4 linked regions of the Drosophila melanogaster genome follow. The protein of the gene in region 2 purifies or fractionates together with the protein of the main gene of each other region. This does not show direct contact. Each region holds a gene or a part of one and is shown on either strand. Other genes may lie near its edges. The genes, in order: dpa, Sld5, Psf3 and Cdc45.

Region 1 (5,736 bases), on a different chromosome or scaffold from region 2:
CCTGCACGGTTTCGTTAAACTGCTCCGCATCCGAAACTCGTTCAATTTCAGGAGCGCCACCCATGTTCAGAAACTGGAATTTGTCCTGGTGATCTTTGAGAGAATGGAAATATTACTTCATTTTCTAAGCTGAAATAGGAGGGAGCTTCCAGACATACCCAGCACCAGTTCAGGGTACTTCGATCGCGCCGCGCACAGCTGATAGAATATGTGATAGTTGCGCTCTCCCTGGGCCTGGTACACCACACGTGACTTCTCCAGTAGGTAGGTGTGCATAGTGGCTCCCTGCAGGAACATCACACCCATCTGGTTCCGGAACAGCAGCTTGGTAAACTTTCCAAAGCGGGAACTGTTGTCATTCCGGGTCGTCTTGGCATTTCCGAAGGCTTCCATGATCGGCGAAGATGCCAGCACCTTGCGTTCGACCTGGGTCTCCGACTCGGAACCTCCAACAGCGGCAAAGTACCTCATGGCGTATTTGGCGGACACCGTCTTGCCCGCACCCGACTCCCCACTGACGATGATGCTCAGGTTGCAGTTCTCGCGCTCCAGTTTCGTGTACGCCTCCTCCGCCAGGGCAAAGATGTGCGGCTCCAGATCACCCATAGCATGACCCCGATACGCTCGGATTATGCTGGGCCCGTAAAGAGGCATCTCCGCGTACGGGTTGATGGCCACCAGAATGATGCCGCAGTAGGTGTAGATAATCTGGCGCTCGCAGAAGCGGACACGCAGATTGTGCAACACCCCCGGCTCATGCAGGTAGGACAGGGTGGTCAAGTCGTTCTGTCCCACCAGAATGGCCGGATTGCGCAGTGGAGGCAGATCGCTGCCATCGGCCTTTAGCTTGACCTCTTTCAGTTTTCCGGAGTCCGTACATATCTTCAAGAAGCCGGCGCCCTTGCGGTAGCTCTCCTCCAAGGTGGCGCTCTCCCACACCAGATCCGCATGGGGCACCCAGATCTTGGCGCCCTGCGAAAGAAGTGAGCCGAATTAACAAGTTTTATGAATGGGAGTTATGCCCGATCCCCTCTAGAGACGTCACCCGACCTGGTGTCTTATCAATCGAGCTTATCACACAACCCATTCCCCTGTCGATAAGACACCCGCGAATATTGTATGTAGATGAATCATTTTTAAACATTTCGGGTGCTGCGATGCAGTCATCAATGGCTAATCACCTGCCATGGGAACAAATCAGGGCCAAGAACTGTCGAATGGCCTGCACACACACACACACACACACACACACTTCGGACGGGGGAAATCACGTTATGGGTGCGATTTTATATTGGCACCATTTGCAGACGACACCGACACCGCCGCAATCTGCCACGATGCACTTGTAGGGCATCAATATATACTGTGCAATACCTGCGCGTATAGCATCTCCTCGCTAGACATGGTTCCACTGGCTCCTCCTCCTACTCCAGGTTCCGCTTCGCGCTCCTTCTTTCTCTCCTCTCCTTCTTCCTACTCCGCGTGGGAGTGAGTTGGGTGCATAAATCCCGTTAGGTTTAATTTCCTTGGTGGTACGTTTTTTTTCTGGCTCTGACAGCCTATTTAAATTACCATTTTCGTGGTCTTTTTTTGGGTTTATGTAAATGTACTGTCCTAAATTACTTAAAATTAGCCAGGAATAATTTATAAAAACATTGATAATTTTTAGATCGCAACGCCAAAGTGTGAGAAAAACAAACAAACTTCCGTCCCTGTCACCGCCTGACTGACTGACTTATGTTTTGTTGTTGGCAAAAGGGCAGGGTTGCCAAAGGGCGTGCAGTTTGGGCCAAATTAGAAATGTGTGGTTCTAACCATGGATTAAATTTGAACAAAGTAAAATATCTTGCAAAAAGATTTGTATAATGCCACAGTAACTGAATTTTTTCTTGCAAAACACCCCAGAAAGCACCAATTATTTGGCGCGCAATGCTCTGCAGTTAGATTTTCAGCACTGCTCAACTCACCCATTGGTATTCTTCAACACTGCAACAGTTATTTTCCCGCCAATTTTTAGCTGGTCTGTCCCACCGCATCGTTTTTTGTTTCACAACAGCTACAGTTTTCGCCCAGGACGCACGGGTTAAATAAATATCTTCTCTAAGGAAATGTCAAGCCCCGCTCGTTCGCCCAGTGTTGGAGGTGCGACGCCCAAACAAGGCGCCCGCACACCCACTAGAGGTGAGTATCGACGTGCCACAAAAAGTGTGTTCTGTTTGCAAAGCAAGCGTCTGTCTGCTTACAGGCATTGCGTCGCAAGATGTGGAGACACCCATGCGCATGGGTCCCGGGAGGGCTGTCCGGCCCTCGGACAACATCAGTTTGCCGCCCACCTCGCCGGGAAACATCAGCTTGCCAGCCACCAGTCCGGCTCGAGGATTGGGTGCGAACATGAGCGAGATCGATCTGAGTTCGCCGCTGAACTACGGCACCCCCAGCTCGATGGGGTCCATTCGAACCCCTCGTTCCGGAATTAGAGGCACTCCGCTGCGGGCGCGGCCCGATATAAGAACGGACAAGCGCATCCGCCAGGTGGCCATCGGTGGGGGCTCTGGGGTAAGTGTACGCTGGCAACTCATTTTGGGACTTTCAAATTAGTTTAGTCGCTTTTACAGCTCGAACCAATTCCTGAGAAGGGCTCTGAAACCACCGATCCTGTATCGGAATCTTCGCAAGCACCTCAGCTCGTCGTCTGGGGAACCAATGTTGTTGTCAGCCAGTGCAAATCCAAGTTCAAGTCGTTTATTATGCGCTTTATTGACCCCAGTGCCGAGCAGGACGAAATCTCCGAGAATATTGATGTTAACCAGCCACTGTATCTTCAGAAGCTGGAGGAGATTCACACATTGGAGGAGCCCTATCTGAATCTCAACTGTGCCCATCTCAAGACCTTTGATCAGGACTTGTACCGCCAGTTGATCTGCTATCCGCAGGAGGTTATTCCTGGCTTTGATATGGCCATAAACGAGATGTTCTTTGAGCGTTATCCTGCCGCTCTTCTGGAACACCAGATTCAAGTGCGCCCCTTCAACGCGGACAAGACACGCAACATGCGATCCCTAAATCCCGAGGATATGGACCAGTTGATCAGCATTAGTGGCATGGTCATTCGCTCGTCGAACGTCATTCCCGAGATGCGCGAAGCCTTTTTCAGTTGCAACATCTGTTCCTTCAGCACAACCGTCGAGGTGGACCGCGGTCGCATTAACCAGCCCACGCTCTGCACCAACTGCAACACGAACCACTGCTTCCGTTTAATCCACAATCGATCGGAGTTTACGGATAAGCAGCTTGTCAAACTTCAGGAGTCTCCAGATGACATGGCGGCGGGACAGACTCCGCATAATGTGCTTTTGTATGCTCACAACGATCTGGTGGACAAGGTGCAGCCTGGTGATCGCGTCACGGTCACAGGCATCTATCGGGCGACGCCACTGAAGACTGGAGGCCTCAGTTCGTCGGTAAAAAGTGTGTATAAGACGCACGTGGATGTGGTTCACTTCCGGAAGGTGGACAACAAGCGACTGTACGAGGATGAGGAGGGGTAAGTCTTGCATTTTATTACTGGTTAGAATAAAATTTGATAATTTTAATTACCTACCAGTAAGGATCACATCTTCCCGCCAGAACGCGTTGAGCTGCTACAATTGCTGGCCAAGAAACCGGACATCTACGACCGCTTGGCCAGGGCCATTGCCCCATCTATTTACGAGAACGACGACATCAAGAAAGGCATCTTGCTGCAGCTCTTTGGTGGCACCAAGAAGAAGCATGCAACTCTCGGCCGCCAGAATTTCAGATCGGAAATTCACCTGCTGTTATGCGGTGATCCGGGTACTTCCAAGTCCCAGATGCTGCAGTACGTCTTCAACCTCGTGCCAAGATCACAGTACACCTCCGGTCGCGGTTCTTCGGCCGTCGGTTTGACTGCCTATGTGACCAAAGATCCGGAGACTCGCCAGCTGGTTCTGCAAACGTAAATCTAAAAGCTTGAATCAGATTCGAATTTAGGTTGTAATCTTATGGCTTGTTTTCAGAGGTGCACTGGTTTTGGCCGATAATGGAGTTTGCTGCATTGACGAGTTTGACAAGATGAACGACTCGACACGCAGTGTGCTGCACGAGGTGATGGAGCAGCAGACACTGAGTATTGCCAAGGCGGGAATCATCTGTCAGCTAAACGCGAGGACCTCGATTCTTGCTGCCGCCAATCCCGCCGAGTCTCAGTGGAATAAGCGCAAGAACATCATTGATAACGTCCAGCTTCCGCACACCCTGTTGTCCCGCTTCGACCTAATCTTTCTGGTCCTGGATCCCCAGGATGAGATCTTTGACAAGCGACTGGCCAGCCATTTGGTATCTTTGTACTATGTGACGCGTCATGAGGAGGAGGATACCATGTTTGTAAGTAGCTTGGATCAATTGTTGGTATTTCTCCGGAATATCTCTGTAACATATTCAATCAATTTTCAGGACATGAGCGTCCTGCGCGACTACATCGCCTATGCCCGCGAACATCTGTCGCCTACGTTGTCGGATGAAGCGCAACAACGACTCATTCAGGCCTACGTGGACATGCGAAAGGTGGGCGCCGGTCGTGGCCAGATCTCTGCTTACCCGCGCCAGCTGGAGAGTCTCATCCGACTGTCGGAGGCGCACGCCAAGGTGCGTCTCAGCAACCAGGTGGAATTGCTGGACGTGGAGGAGGCTTGGCGGCTTCATCGCGAGGCTCTCAAGCAGTCGGCCACGGATCCCCTGTCCGGCAAAATTGACGTGGGCATTCTCACCACCGGCTTATCAACAGCCGCTCGCAAAAAGCGCGCCGATCTGGTGGCAGCCATCAAGGAAAACCTCAAGAAGAAGGGCAAAGTTCTCACAGTTCCCTATCAGAAACTGTTTAGCGATATTAAGGAAGGATCCCAAATTGTAAGTGCTAATATAATATATTTATAATATAAAATCAATGTAAACGATAATTTATTGCAGATGATCACACGCGAGCAATTTGAAGATGCCCTGAAGGAGGTGCAAGATGAGGGCGCAATTGTTGTCATGGGAAAGAACACCATTCGTATTTGTTAATTTTATTACATTTATCTCATTCAAAACCAACCGCAAATTCATTCATTCCTATTTTTAAGCGCAACTACAAAAATGTTTTCAATAAAAAAATTTCAAATTATTCGTTTCTGTTTTATCAACTAATATGTAAAGAAAAATTGCACATAATTAAATTATTTGGAAAGTTTATATATTGCGGTAGAAAAATAATTGATTGATATTTGAATATAATTTTTTTATTTTTCGAGCAGCTTATAATGTAAAATATATGGACATGTCAACGTGGAAAATGTTGTCAAGCTTGCTAAAATATTGATAAAGTGATTTATACATAAGAAGAGCACATATCACTTAAATTTGAAAAGGCAGAAAAACTGAATCTTAAAATTCGTGTAATTAAGCATTACTTTGGAAAGCCAAACAAAAACAAATTTCGAATATATAGGAGTACCCCAACTAAAAAAGGAATATCCCAGTTAGTGCCGTTTTTTAGCGCATTTGCGCAGGCGAAGTGCAGATATTTTGGCGCTCTGGCTGCTGCCACACTGTGTGTACGGAAAATGATGGAGTTCGGGAAATCGTCGGATCACTCCCAGCACAGCGCTTCCGAGGCGTCGGCGGACTCCGGCAGCCTGGCAAACAGCGATCTGGCCGTCACGCCCACCAAGCGGGAGC
Region 2 (3,239 bases):
TTTCCCATTGTTATTAACTTCAAAAACTTAACAAGCGCTTAATTTAAAACATAAATGTGATTATGAAGAATGCTCATTTTTAAACATTTGAATTCTTCAATCAGCTGTTCACGAGATAAACAGCCGGTGAATGCTTCTTCTTCATAAATTGTCATTAACTTTCTCCGTTGACATGTGAGCATTTCAGATTGGTTAAAACTTTTATGATGCCACAAATTGCAAATAAACCAAATGAATCGTAAGTTTAACCATTTAACAAAGAAATAAACATAAATTTAGTAATAAATATTCGCCTCATTAGCATAATAAGAGTGCCGTTTGAGACGCCACGATTGGCCGAGATCGCCTACAAAGTCCTCGGTGTCGACCAGGAGCCGCGCCGGAATTTCGTGAAAAAAACTTTGAGCCTGGAGAACGATGTTCTGGTTGTGCACTTTCAGTCGGATCAAGTGAAGAGCCTGCGCACTGCCATCACCTCCTTCTTTGAGTGCCTGCTCCTGTGCCAGGACACCATCAACCAGTTCGGAGACTCCAAGAAAGAGAAACTAATCCCCGAGAGCAACGACAATGCCGGAACACACTCCAGCTCCGACTCCCCATAGGGCGGTCTATGGTTTCGCCTTCTATATGCTGTTCACGGTCCTCTTCCTCGTATACGTGACTTGGGCGCTGCTGCCAGTGGAGTTTGGTCTGCACTCGTATCTGCCGGACAAGTATTTTGCCGTATTTGTGCCTTTTCTGGTGCTGGTCTTCGCCTGGTTCTTTGCCTTCCTCATCTATCCTGCCATAAATCTATCGATGACAGTGGATGTTGATTCCATTGCCTCGGTGGTGGATCCAAAGCTGGCACTGCCCAAGGGGACAGAGTTCACCTCCTGGTCGCAGTTGCAAAAAGGCAAGGTCAGCCAGGATTCCGCATCAAAGAAGGCCTCTCCAGTGAACTGCAACCTGTGCAGGACTTTCCACCAACCTGTGACACGTGCACCTATTCCACCACTGCGTTTTCTGGACCTCCAGGAAGTAAATACAGCGTATTATAACTAAAAAACTAGCAGGTTTCTTTTTAATCATCCCGACGAAATTCATTTTCTTCGCACGGTGGTCCAGCCGTCTTCCGGTTCCACAAACTCCTCAGCCTGCTGCTTTCGTGCCTGCGATCGCGTCATCCGACCACTGCCGCTGGGAGTTTCCTCGTCGCCCTGGCCCATTTCATTATCGTCCTCCTCGTCGCTGTCGTCCATGTCCTCATCGGATGAGGAGTCCCCATCGATGGGTGTGTAGGTGATCTTAACATCCGGACGCAGCCACTCCTTGCCAGCAGGAAGTTTACTCAATTCAGCCTCTATTTGCGGAAACTGGTTCTGCTGGGCCATCAATTTGTAGCGCAGCAGATTCCGGCAGATCTCCGGAATGGAGTCGTCGTCGCAGAGGGTGTTAAACTCCTGGTCCATCAGCTCCTCCAGGACCTCCACCAGTTCGCCTTGCGTGATATTTTCGTTGGACACGCAGTACTGGTAGGTGTAGTCCATGATTTCTATGGCCACCTACAAAACGGACACTCCGATTAGGTTAGAAAAGAAGACGGTTTCAGGGTATACGAGCAACAACCTGTTGGCCATTGCGTCCGCCCATGCCATGCTCCACCGCCAGCCGGAGATCCTGCCAGTGATTGAAGATCTTCTCTACAATCACTCTAAAATTCTTTTGGAATTCAGTTTGTTGTGCGGCTGCCATCGCATGCTTTTGTGATATCGATAACGGTTAGACGTGCCATTCACACGGAGTAAAAACAAATGAAACAGTGATGAAAAACGTCAACTGTATTACTGGAGTGACATTCCCAACGATTCCCAAAATTTGCGCCAAAATCTGCAAAATAATAAACAAATAAATAAAACCATGTCGGATGTAGAAGACGTGCCCGAAACCCAGTTAGAAATCGATGTCAGCGATGGCGCCGGACTGGAGGATGAGGATGATGACGATATGGAACAGATTACAGCTCAGAAGGTAAGGTAAATCGTAACACAGCTTTTTAATACGCAAGTAATCACATTCTGATATCCCTAGGTTCTGGAAATCATAGAAACCGCGTGGATAAATGAAATGTGTGCGCCGGAGATCCTGCCCAGCCAGACGGACATGCTGGAGCTGATGGTCTCCCAGGTGGCCCACATGGAGGAGCAGATGCGCGATCTGGACAAGAACGATTTCCGAGCGGTGGTGCACTCCATGGAACTGGAGAGGGTGCGCTACATAATGGCCAGTTATCTGCGTTGCCGCCTGCAGAAGATCGAAACCTTCACGCAGCACATCCTCAACCAGGAGGAGAGCCGTGAGCCGGATGACAAACGTCTGTCTCCCGAGGAGACTAAGTTCGCCCAGGAGTTTGCCAGTAATGTGGATGAGTACTTCCACAAAGTAGCCACCCAGTACATGCCCAACCAGCAGAGAGGAGAGGCGGAGCAGAGGATTGTGACGCCCAATCTGATGAGCCATGTCTTTCTTAAGGCAAATGTGGCAGGTAATAACCTTTTGTCATCTAATTAAGATAACCGCTTAACTCTTGTTTTGCTTTCCAGTGCCCGCTGTGATCGTGGGCGTCGATGATGAGGAGGTGGACATGGCGGCCGGCTCCCAGCATATTATTCCCTACCAACTAGTGGCCGACTTGATACAAAACAACCAAGCGCAGCTAATTTAAAAGACTTATTTAGCAGGTAATATACATGATAATAAAAAAAATTAAAAATCAAACTCTGCAAAGCTGCATGTTTAAGGGTACATTTAAAAATGTTGTAGAAGAATATTTAAATTAAATTTAATTTATTTAATATCGAACCGGAAGTAAACTGCATAAAATGCCATTCAAATTGGTTCGCTTCCCGCTAAAGCCGGCGCCAGTGTTGCCGAACGGACGCCCGCGAACAGCTGCGCTTGTGCGTGACGTCACAGGGTGTTACGTTTCCAGTGGAAAACAGTGGTGAGGTGTACTGCAGGCGGCATACACATAAACCACGCATTCAATTTGCCTTCAGTTTGGTTCAGTCGTCAATGTGGCGGGCTTTGGCACGAACGACGTTGAGAGCAGTAGCCAACGATTGCGGTTCACCAGGAGTCGGTCTCGCACCATCAGCGCTGACGCAGCACCAATTGCGACATTCCAAGGCCAGCAATAGGTTCATCACCACCACCTCCACAGCCCCACCACACAATATCGGAATCATGAGCGTAGAGAA
Region 3 (4,749 bases), on a different chromosome or scaffold from region 2:
AGGATGAAAAAGGCAGCGGAAACGATGGCGACCTACAAATGAACCGAAGACCATGGACAGACCCTTAGTGTTAAATAAAGACATTATTTACTAAAAAAAAAACAAAAAAAAGAACGATAAAGATGAAAGTGAAGAACTAAGAACAAGAACAAAACTAAAACCAAATGCAGATAAAGCGAATAAACTATGTTGCTTATTTTTTGAAGCAAGCCCCTAACCATTAACGAATTAATGTTGCATTCAATTTCCGCTATATCCACGAAATCGATGTTGTTAACCGCCCCGAAAAATTGTCGAGGGGAATGAATGCTTGTGTTAATACCATAACCTGTTAGTAATATATATATTGCAAATGCAAATGCGGAAGAAGGATAACTGAGCATAGCATATGAAAGCCAAAAGAAATTGGCCAGATGCACAGCTAGGAATGTTCGATGTGCATATATTAATATACATATACATATATATATATATATTAATATTGTGAAAGTCACCAAGGATATATATATAGATACCAGATAACCGGGGACCGTAGATCATTTTTCGGCCATCTATGTAGAGAATATGGTCAAGTGGAAAACGATGTATATATATTTTCTGAATTGCATATCACGATATTTTACAAGACACAAGAATATTAGTAATCAGAATTTTAATTGTGCTACATTAGTATCTTCTTTATCTTATCGTTTAAATTCAAATGCTGTAAACTTGTTTGATATATTTCGATATGCTCATTTTGCGAAGCTTCTGATGTTCAGACAATTTGATATTGATTTGTTTTACTAGATTATCTTTATTAGGTTATCAAAGAAATGAAAAAAAAAACACATTTGTTACATTTTCCACCTACGAGTATAATATATATGTATATTGGCCTACTTTGTGCGCTTTAGCCTAACTTGCTTAGTTCATTACATTATACCATTGAAAACTCTTCCAAAATAAACAAATAGCACAATCCAGACTTATAAGCATTACGGTCCCTGAAATAGAAGTCCTATATTGGTTGCTTTTAAACGAACTACCTATGTACGCTGGACATTGGTGTATATGTTTATTTGTGAACTGTATGTGAAACTAGCACAAAATCAAATTTTAATTGAGCTTACAAGAATATAATTATATATGTAGTTAACTATTTATATGTAACAATGTGGCGCAACATCGCTTTGGCTTATTGCCAAGTCAATGAAAAACGCAGAACGGCAGCTCCTATGTGTTTTGTTTAAGACCGGTCCCGGATTGGATGCTTAGTTATGCGTAGATGTATGCGAAACCCATGTATTTTGAACTGTACAAATGGATTTAGCCGTGTGCATAGAGTAGATGAAAAGTGTATTTTTGAGAGGTCAGGCTGCCCTATGGCCACCGAACGAATGGACGAAATAAAGTTGCTACAGTTCCACAGTACATCAGTGGTCTGTTTTTGTTGTTTTACTCTGCTTGTTACAAGGTGGCCCGCTTGCTGTTGGGCAGAGCATCGCCCTCGTCATCGCTGCGATCCGCACGTCGCCGCTTCTTTTGGTGCTCCTCGACCAGCTCCGAGGTGCGAATCTTGTTGCCCGTCATCTGCAGCCATTCGATGTACTGAAATTATGTGATTAATATAACACTCCGTGCCCACTTGACTGGTAGTACAGCCACCCACCTGACTGTTGGTGCGCACTCCAGCCTCGTGCAGCTTGGCCTCGATGTTATCCAGTCGATGCTCCGCCTTGGCTGCCTGTCCGTCGCTCTTCGAGATGTCCAGGAGATGACGTACCCTCTGGCGCAGCGTTTCGAAGATGATGCGGCCGATGACATGGTTGCGATCGTAGGGCGTCAGATAGCGACCGAACTCGTAGAAGTACGGGTGCAGGCGTCCCAGCTCGATGTGCGTGGTCTCCGCCTCGCAGACGGCCTTATGCACATTGCGATAGATATCTGGCACGGCGACGGTGAAGTAGGCATTGTTTACCTTCAGCTCCTTGATGTACCACAACGGCAGATTGACCGTCCTGCCGGGCTCCAGGTCATCCGATTCCGCGCCGGAGTCCAGGAATCCTGCAAGCAACTCAATATTGTCGGATTACTGGCCAGAATGTGCGTGTCCGTCCAAGCCAATCACTTACCCATCCGCTGCAGCTTGGTGTTCACCCGACATTCCACCTTCTCCTGGGTCACGAATATGTCCTCGATGGAGTAATAGTTCGGAAAATAGTTCATTCCGTTCATTGCGCGGCCCAGCTTTATGATTCGTTTGGTGTTTACTTTAGGTAAATTCAATTTCTTAAGTGCGCGACCTATCGCCTATCGATATTAGATGCATTTTGCCGGGGTCTATCGAGGCAGAAACAGCTGTTTGCCTGGATGCCGAGGCACTCGATAGGTTTTATGTACTATATATATCGAAGCATTTATATGTATTATATGTAAATAGTTTTTCCGGAAAATTACTCTTATTTCAGCGCGAATTTTAAATTGCAGCCTGCACTTGACATTTTTTTATACATAAAATTACTAGTCAGGGTATAATTACTCAAAGTTGTAAATGATGTGGAACATGTGAACTCAGCTTAGTAATAGTAATTCGATACGATTGCAATTAGATGGTTACTTCTTCCGCAAGTTCTTAGGCTTATCTGCATCTTTCAAAAACAAATAAAAATAAAGGTTTCGTTCCCGGCAATGACTATTTTGACTTCAATTTCGAACAATTGATCTTAATCTAGCCGTATGATCATCAAGTCGTCGATAAAGTCGCCCATATTAAAAATCATCAATCCACTTGAGATCAAAAATAGCAAAGCCGCGTGCTTCGAGTTTTTCTTGTTGGCGACGAGGAACGGACAGATGGTCGAAAGAGCCATTTCGATTTAGCTATGTGTGTGCAAGGATTAGAGAAATGTGTGTGTAGTTAATATCAGTTAATAACGAAATCATAGGGAGCACACAACTTGTTCGGTCGAGATTTGAGTTCACAGTAAGAAGTTTGAAGGCACGAGCGTTGAAGTGCGAAAAAGGACTTTGACAGTTAACTCCCGCGTTGCTGAGCACTGGCTGGCTTCGTTGCCCATCGGACTATCGATAAAGTCGAACTGTAAAGCCGCCGCCACCAAAAACTTTTTCAGCCTTCCGGCAAACGGTCATACTCAGCTAGCTGTCCGACGAGTTTTGTTATTGGCGGAGAAAAGATTACGCTGGTTTATAAATTCTCAGTTAAGCCGATTTCTCAGCTCCTCTCCCCCTGCAGAGATCTAACACATCTATATAGATATATATATTTTATATATTCCTTGATCGATTTGCGATCCCGAAAGTCGATCAGCCGTGCGTCTATATATTTTTTTTTCTGTTCTTGCCCCTCGTGCAACATCAGTGAACATCAGCGGCCCACCGTACAAAATCTCAATAAGAAAAAAAGAGAGCATAAAGTGAAATTGCCTTTTGCGGCAAGTAAGAAAACGACCAAAAAAGAGAAAAGAATATAACGACTATTTGAATTAAACAAAGTTTATTGTTTACAATAGCATACAATACAAGTTTATAAGCTAACGGGCGTCGCTGTGCGTGTGTGTGTGCTTGTGTGTGCGTGCGTGTAGTTGTTGCGCCAAAAATTCCAATCGGAATTCTGGAACAGCTGGCCACAACAACAAAACGCGGCCAATAGAAGAACAATTTAGCTGCTGAAAAATGGGCGACTTCGATCTGAATGTGGACAGCTTGATACAGCGGCTGCTGGAGAGTAAGTAGATGCGAAATTTCCCCCTCTTTCAATCCTACTTTCCCAAAACCTCCCCCCCAAACCCTCTACGCCCCTCCCACGCCACTGTCCCCATTTTAATTTATTACACAGTTTATCTGCGTGTGTGTGTGTGTGCGATTGCATTTTCTAATTATTGCACATTGTTCGCTTAAATGGTAGTAGGTTTTCTTTTTGTTGTTGCGACAGCCCCTCTCTCTACCGCCGCCGCCGCCACCGCTGCTGCCGCTGCAACCGTTTGAATTTGACTCTTGAATCAATTAGTTTTAATTGATTTTCATTGCTCCTCTTGAAAAACAGCAAAAACCATAAAAACAACAACAACAACAGCGACAGCATCTACGCTACGCTCATTAGCGTTTACATAATACTAACAGTGATCGCGCTGTTAAGCACGCCATCTCTGTCCTGCGCTAATGTCTCCCAAATGATTTTTGGTTTATTAGCTGTGTTTTTTCTTGTTTCGCCTATATTGGCAATGACGTCATCGAGCTGATAAACACGGGCGTGATTCAAACAGAATGTGTAGCTATGAAATCGCCGACGAAGGAATGGAACGGAATCACATGAGTTACTCGATAAGGAGCTTTGTCGCAAGTAACCCCACTGCCCGTTGGAGTGGGATCGCTGTTCGTGTCACGCAACTATCGCTAAAGACGGTTGAGAAATCTACGACCGATATATCCTATATTTCCTAGCCCCCAAGAAGATATTTTTATCCAGCGATCAATATCAATATAATTTTTACTGGGTATCGACCGCTATAGCCGATATCCACTGTATGTGGCTTAGAATGGGTGGTGGGGGCTGTGTCATCGTCGTCATCATGCAACCTTCCTGCAAAGCGTAAAAGCGCTAAATAGTTTACATTTTTGCAACCTCTTCTAGGTTTCGAATGCGATATGCCTTTGCCCTGGTGAAAACCCAACATCTGCGAGGGTTGCTTAAGCCGCTTAGTGCTTGTCTCGTTTTGCAAGTGTCAGCCAATGTCGAAGATACGGCAT
Region 4 (4,568 bases), on a different chromosome or scaffold from region 2:
AGGAAAGAGGCCGCAAGCAATACCATCTATGTGGCATCTGGCCACAACCATCCCGCCCTTCTCAGCACCCACATAGCCGTCGATCCGCCCAACTGGCTGTGTTCCAAGTCCCAACAGATTCTTTCGGACACTGGCAGCTTGAGGTGTCGCTTTCGATTCCAGCACACCAAACCATTGGTGGACTGTCAGCTGAGCATCTCTCCCAGTAACACTTTTCTTGTCGAGTTGGACGCTCCTTTAAGAGCTATTACACCAGGACAATATGCCGTATTCTATGACGACACAGCTTGTTTGGGTTCGGCCCGCATCCTCAGCGCTAATCCCCTAAAGAAAAAAAACGCACAGACGCAGCAAGCTCAAGCCGCAAATCTGGTTAGCTAATGATGTTTCCTCTGAGCCAGAAAATAAACCAAATGTAAGAAGGCAGTCCAACTGCCAACACGGCATGTATAGATAGCATGGTAAATACGTTTTCATAAATTTAAGCGCCGAGTAAATTTTAGACGTGAATCGACACTTTTAATTCCATGGTAAACACTTTAATTTAAATTTATTATTCTAGGTCAAATTTACAATTAGTTTTTGAAAAAGGACATTTTGCATTTTGTGGTCCTGGGAGCAATGATAAAGTTATTAACACACAATCGTACATAAATAGGGTTTGGTAAAATCTTAAACTAAGTGTACACGTGAGGTCTCGCGATATAAAACTAGCTTAGCACATAATATGATTGAGCAGGGATGTGTCGGTAGCAGGTAGAATAGAAAGCGGCGTGGATTAGGCTAACAGCACCGTGAGGGAGTCCAGAAAGCGTGTGAGGTCGCTCTGCCGCAGCTGCACCACCGCTGGCTCGAAAAAGTCCTGCAATAGAGCGACTCCACTCTTTTGCGCCGCCTGCTCGAAGGCCTTGCCAAAGAAGTTTCGCGGAGAGTCTTCCCTTACCGGGACAATGCCTACCAGCAAGCACATGCCCTCCGAAGCGTTCAGGGGACAACTTGCGATCAACGGCAAGTCCGAAGCCTGCCTGGCTCTACTCGTGGCCACATGTCCGCGCAAAAGAAAGCGAGCCAACAGTCCAAGGGCATAGGGGTATGAGAAGAACGCGTGTTCCTCCTGCAGAACGTAGTAGAAAAAGGAGCCCGCTGAATGAACTTGGCGTGCCTCCAAGCTGCTCTGCACCTGCCGAAAGACAGCAGCATGCAAAAGCTTCGCCTGGTCGATGCCTGCAGACAGCAGCTGCTTGTGCTGACGACTCAAAGCATCCGAGGCCTCCAGAAAGCAATCCTCCGGAGTCTTGTGCTTCTTCACGGACTCCATGATGGCGAGCAGGGCATAAACGTAGTCCGCCGCAGCATATCTGCTGCGGTAGCCGTAGCTCAGCGTAAAGGTGCCGTAAACTATGTCCGCTATGTCGTACTTCTCCGCCAGGCGCTCCACCATCGAGAAGAACTCCTTGCGCAACACCAAATCCATGGCTCCGTACGTTTGGCGGGCGTGCACCAAGGGAAGTCCCATCTCGAGCAGCAGCTCGTGTAATCTCTTCTCTCCGCGCAGTGTCCACAGCTTCAGCTGGCATGAGGAGTAGCGGGAATACCTACGATTATACTACATGATTAAATGGCATAGAATACACTGTCAATGCTCACCTCATGGATTCCGTGACGGGCCAGTGGCGGTACAAGACCAGATGCAAATCATTCTCGAAGGTTATCTTGGAGGCACTCATCGTGTTCTGATCATTCGTTTTGTTCGTCAGTCGGGACACATGCGACTGGATTTGCTCCAGCTCCAAAGTATACGCTCCACTCTCGATCTTGCCCAGCAGCAGCTGCTCCGTGATGCCCACAATGGCCCACCAGAGCAGGTCCATGTTGTCTTTTGAGAGCTTCCAGGCCAACTCAAAAACCATCAAAGCGGCGGACCTGCCGTAGTAGCTGAACTGCGTGTACTCGAACATAATCCTGTCGCGCTCAGACTCCCACTGTCGGCGGGCTCGCTGCTTCAGGATGCGTTGCTCGTGCCGCTCCAGGCGACTGAGCTTACGGCTCCTTGGCGCCTGATCCTCCTGGTCCGATTCCCCGGCACCACTGTCGTCGTGCTGCTGTTCCGTGTCAGAGGACTCGTCCTCATCCTCGTCTTCACCTTCAGAGTCATAGAAAATTGTCTCGAACGCTGGAATATTCTCCTCCAAGGAGGCATCCCCCAAGATGCACACCTGCCGATCGCTGTAGATGTTACACACATCCAACGGGCGATGTGAATCGCATATGAAGAAGGTCACGTCGTCCGACGGCTGCAGGAGCTCCACAATATCTACACAGCCGCCGCAGTTCACCAACACCACGTACTTAACGTCGCCCTGGTGCTCTCCATAGGCCCGCTTCAGACCCGTAACGCCCATTATGGGCACCACGGTGTACAGCATGTGATCGTACTTGAACAAGGCCTGCAGGATGCGACTGGCGCAGATGGCATCGATGTCGTAGTTGACCACGATCAAGATGCGCTTGCCAACCAGCTGGCGGTAAAAGTCGTTGCGCAGATCCTGGACAAACATGGTGAACACTTCTGGCGGGAATCCCAATCGTCTGCCTAATCTGTCTACGTCTAGACACAACGGTCTCTTTCCAATCGCTTACGATGCAAAGTAGAATTCTACATGAGTGCAGTGCGTTGCATTTTGAGGGTTTCCCTGCGGCTTGCGCTATTTTCCAGCTTCCCACTGCCGCTCCACTTTTGCTTTTCTGGCAATCGCAATTGGCGAATCAAAAACGCGGGAAACAGCTGGCTTAGCCAGTGTGACCAGTGTGAAATAATGGAATGGCGCGGAAATACAATCGTTGCTGGGAAAAGAATATTCTGCGAATTTCCAGAAATTTTGAGCTGCCAAAAACCGAAATTATAATCACATAATGTTGAATTTTGAGAGCTCTTTGCAGTTGCTGCTATTGCAGTAGGAGCAATATCTTGGCGCTCCAGATACGGTCACACCGCGACGCCCATGTGTTTTGAATTGCCACAAAAACGAAAGTCTACCAGTCGACCAGCTTTGTGCGACAAAAGCCTCAGAATATGAGCAGGGACAACAAGATGAAGCACCTGACCCAGCGGGCCATCTCCTCACGCATGAACTACCTGTTCCAGGCCTCGAATTTAATGGCAGTAGGCAATCAACCAAAATTGGCCGCCTATTATGGCAAACTCTGCCGCAATGTGGGCACCAAGGCTATCATGCACATGTAAGTGGCTTCTCCAGTGGAGTATGGGCAAATAATTCATGGCGTCAACTGGTTTCAAGGGCCCCGGCCGTGAAGCGTTCCCTGTGCAGGCGCTGTTTCCTTCCCCTGATTCCCGGAGTGAATACGGAGCTGCATGTGGAGGAAGGAGCACAGGAGGCCAAGACTGATGCACAAGCTCAATCGAACGGAGCAGTCAAAACGAAGAAAAAGCGCCATCGCAGGCAGCGCAAGAAGCCCAGAAGCCGGAAAACAGGGAACACCAACCAGGAGGAATCCGAGGAGCAAATCCAAGAAAGTACTGAACAGGTCTCTTTTTTCTTAGAGTGCTCACTCTGCTGCGGCCGGCGAAGCTTTGCGGCGAACAGTCAAAGAGACTGCTGGTTGGAGCAGCCGCAATCCATAGTGCAAGTGGTCTCGCTCCCCAAAGAGAAAGACGAGCGATAAGCTGAAGCTTTGCTTATCAGCCAGCCTGCCTGTTGTGCCATCACCTGATTGCTCGGCAGTTGAGCCTGGAATGCTTAGCTGTAGGCAACTTATTTCTCGGCTGAGCCTTCTTCGGCAGGCGAGCACATTTGCTTGTGTGCGACTATGCCCCGACTATGTAGAAGTCCAGGAGGAGCAGGGCAATCTCCTGAAGTACCCCCAAGTTTGGCTTAGGGACAACTGTCAGTGTGCCGAGTGCTTCCACGCCGCCACAAGAGCAAGAAAAAGTCACTGGGATCGTGGCCCGCTGAATATACCAGTGTCCCAAGTGGCCTACAACAAGGAGAGGAAACAGTTGGAGATCATCTGGCAGGACAAGCACAGGAGCACCTTCGATCTAGGCTGGCTGAGGGAAAGGGACTTTGGAGAGACTGGCAGAAAGCATTACTTGGAGGAGGTCTACAAGCCACCCGCTCAACTCTGGGGAAAAACGGAGTTCGAGGATGTGAAAAGAGAATTCCAATACGAGGATGTGCTGGAGCAAGATGCAGCCCTGAGAGTTTGGCTTGAGGCACTGGCAGTCCAAGGATTCGCCATTCTGAAAGGGGCACCCAACGACATAAATGTGGCTAAGAAATTGGCCGAACGAATTGGCTACATAAAACGCACCACCTACGGGTAAATATTAACCAATAGATGACATACTTCATCGTACAGTACCAGGGTCATAAAACTCACATTTGCCGAGAGCTGTATTATCTATCAGTCCACTAAATATTATCACTATCGGTTGATTGTTACAGCCAGAATCAGGCAAATATTTTCAACCAGGTGTCCATTTGTACTCATGATAAAGATTTGATTACCACTTACTCACGCTAGATACTACTACAGAATATGCTAGC

What was found.
Region 1: the proteins of Sld5 (region 2) and dpa purify together in Drosophila melanogaster (affinity purification with western blotting; 2 studies listed by BioGRID, with this or other methods). This does not show direct contact.
Region 3: the proteins of Sld5 (region 2) and Psf3 purify together in Drosophila melanogaster (affinity purification with western blotting; 2 studies listed by BioGRID, with this or other methods). This does not show direct contact.
Region 4: the proteins of Sld5 (region 2) and Cdc45 purify together in Drosophila melanogaster (affinity purification with western blotting; 2 studies listed by BioGRID, with this or other methods). This does not show direct contact.

The regions. Positions count from the first base shown.
Region 1 is NT_033778.4:7,496,147-7,501,882, reverse strand, and holds dpa (disc proliferation abnormal), read left to right. Parts: upstream 1-1,737; 5' UTR 1,738-2,108; coding exon 2,109-2,181; intron 2,182-2,245; coding exon 2,246-2,556; intron 2,557-2,615; coding exon 2,616-3,544; intron 3,545-3,604; coding exon 3,605-3,976; intron 3,977-4,037; coding exon 4,038-4,404; intron 4,405-4,473; coding exon 4,474-4,926; intron 4,927-4,986; coding exon 4,987-5,082; 3' UTR 5,083-5,181; downstream 5,182-5,736. Other genes in the region: didum (dilute class unconventional myosin), read right to left, coding at 1-93, 159-972, 1,375-1,404; CG1620 (uncharacterized protein), read left to right, coding at 5,622-5,736. UniProt on the Drosophila melanogaster protein: Acts as a component of the Mcm2-7 complex (Mcm complex) which is the putative replicative helicase essential for 'once per cell cycle' DNA replication initiation and elongation in eukaryotic cells.
Region 2 is NT_033777.3:26,055,152-26,058,390, reverse strand, and holds Sld5 (Sld5), read left to right. Parts: upstream 1-1,843; 5' UTR 1,844-1,899; coding exon 1,900-2,010; intron 2,011-2,070; coding exon 2,071-2,524; intron 2,525-2,582; coding exon 2,583-2,704; 3' UTR 2,705-2,734; downstream 2,735-3,239. Other genes in the region: Tcs6 (Threonyl-carbamoyl synthesis 6), read left to right, coding at 204-238, 302-602; PIG-P (phosphatidylinositol glycan anchor biosynthesis class P), read left to right, coding at 568-1,044; CG14543 (uncharacterized protein), read right to left, coding at 1,083-1,544, 1,609-1,734; Cmpk (Cytidine/uridine monophosphate kinase 1), read left to right, coding at 3,055-3,239.
Region 3 is NC_004354.4:10,382,837-10,387,585, forward strand, and holds Psf3 (partner of Sld five 3), read right to left. Parts: upstream 3,026-4,749; 5' UTR 2,218-3,025; coding exon 2,115-2,217; intron 2,047-2,114; coding exon 1,652-2,046; intron 1,591-1,651; coding exon 1,450-1,590; 3' UTR 517-1,449; downstream 1-516. Other genes in the region: flw (flapwing), read left to right, coding at 3,676-3,727.
Region 4 is NC_004354.4:1,027,770-1,032,337, forward strand, and holds Cdc45 (cell division cycle 45), read right to left. Parts: upstream 2,788-4,568; 5' UTR 2,559-2,787; coding exon 1,648-2,558; intron 1,596-1,647; coding exon 779-1,595; 3' UTR 522-778; downstream 1-521. Other genes in the region: CG3021 (uncharacterized protein), read left to right, coding at 1-381; Rpp21 (ribonuclease P/MRP subunit p21), read left to right, coding at 3,074-3,240, 3,300-3,684; CG14630 (uncharacterized protein), read left to right, coding at 3,755-4,341.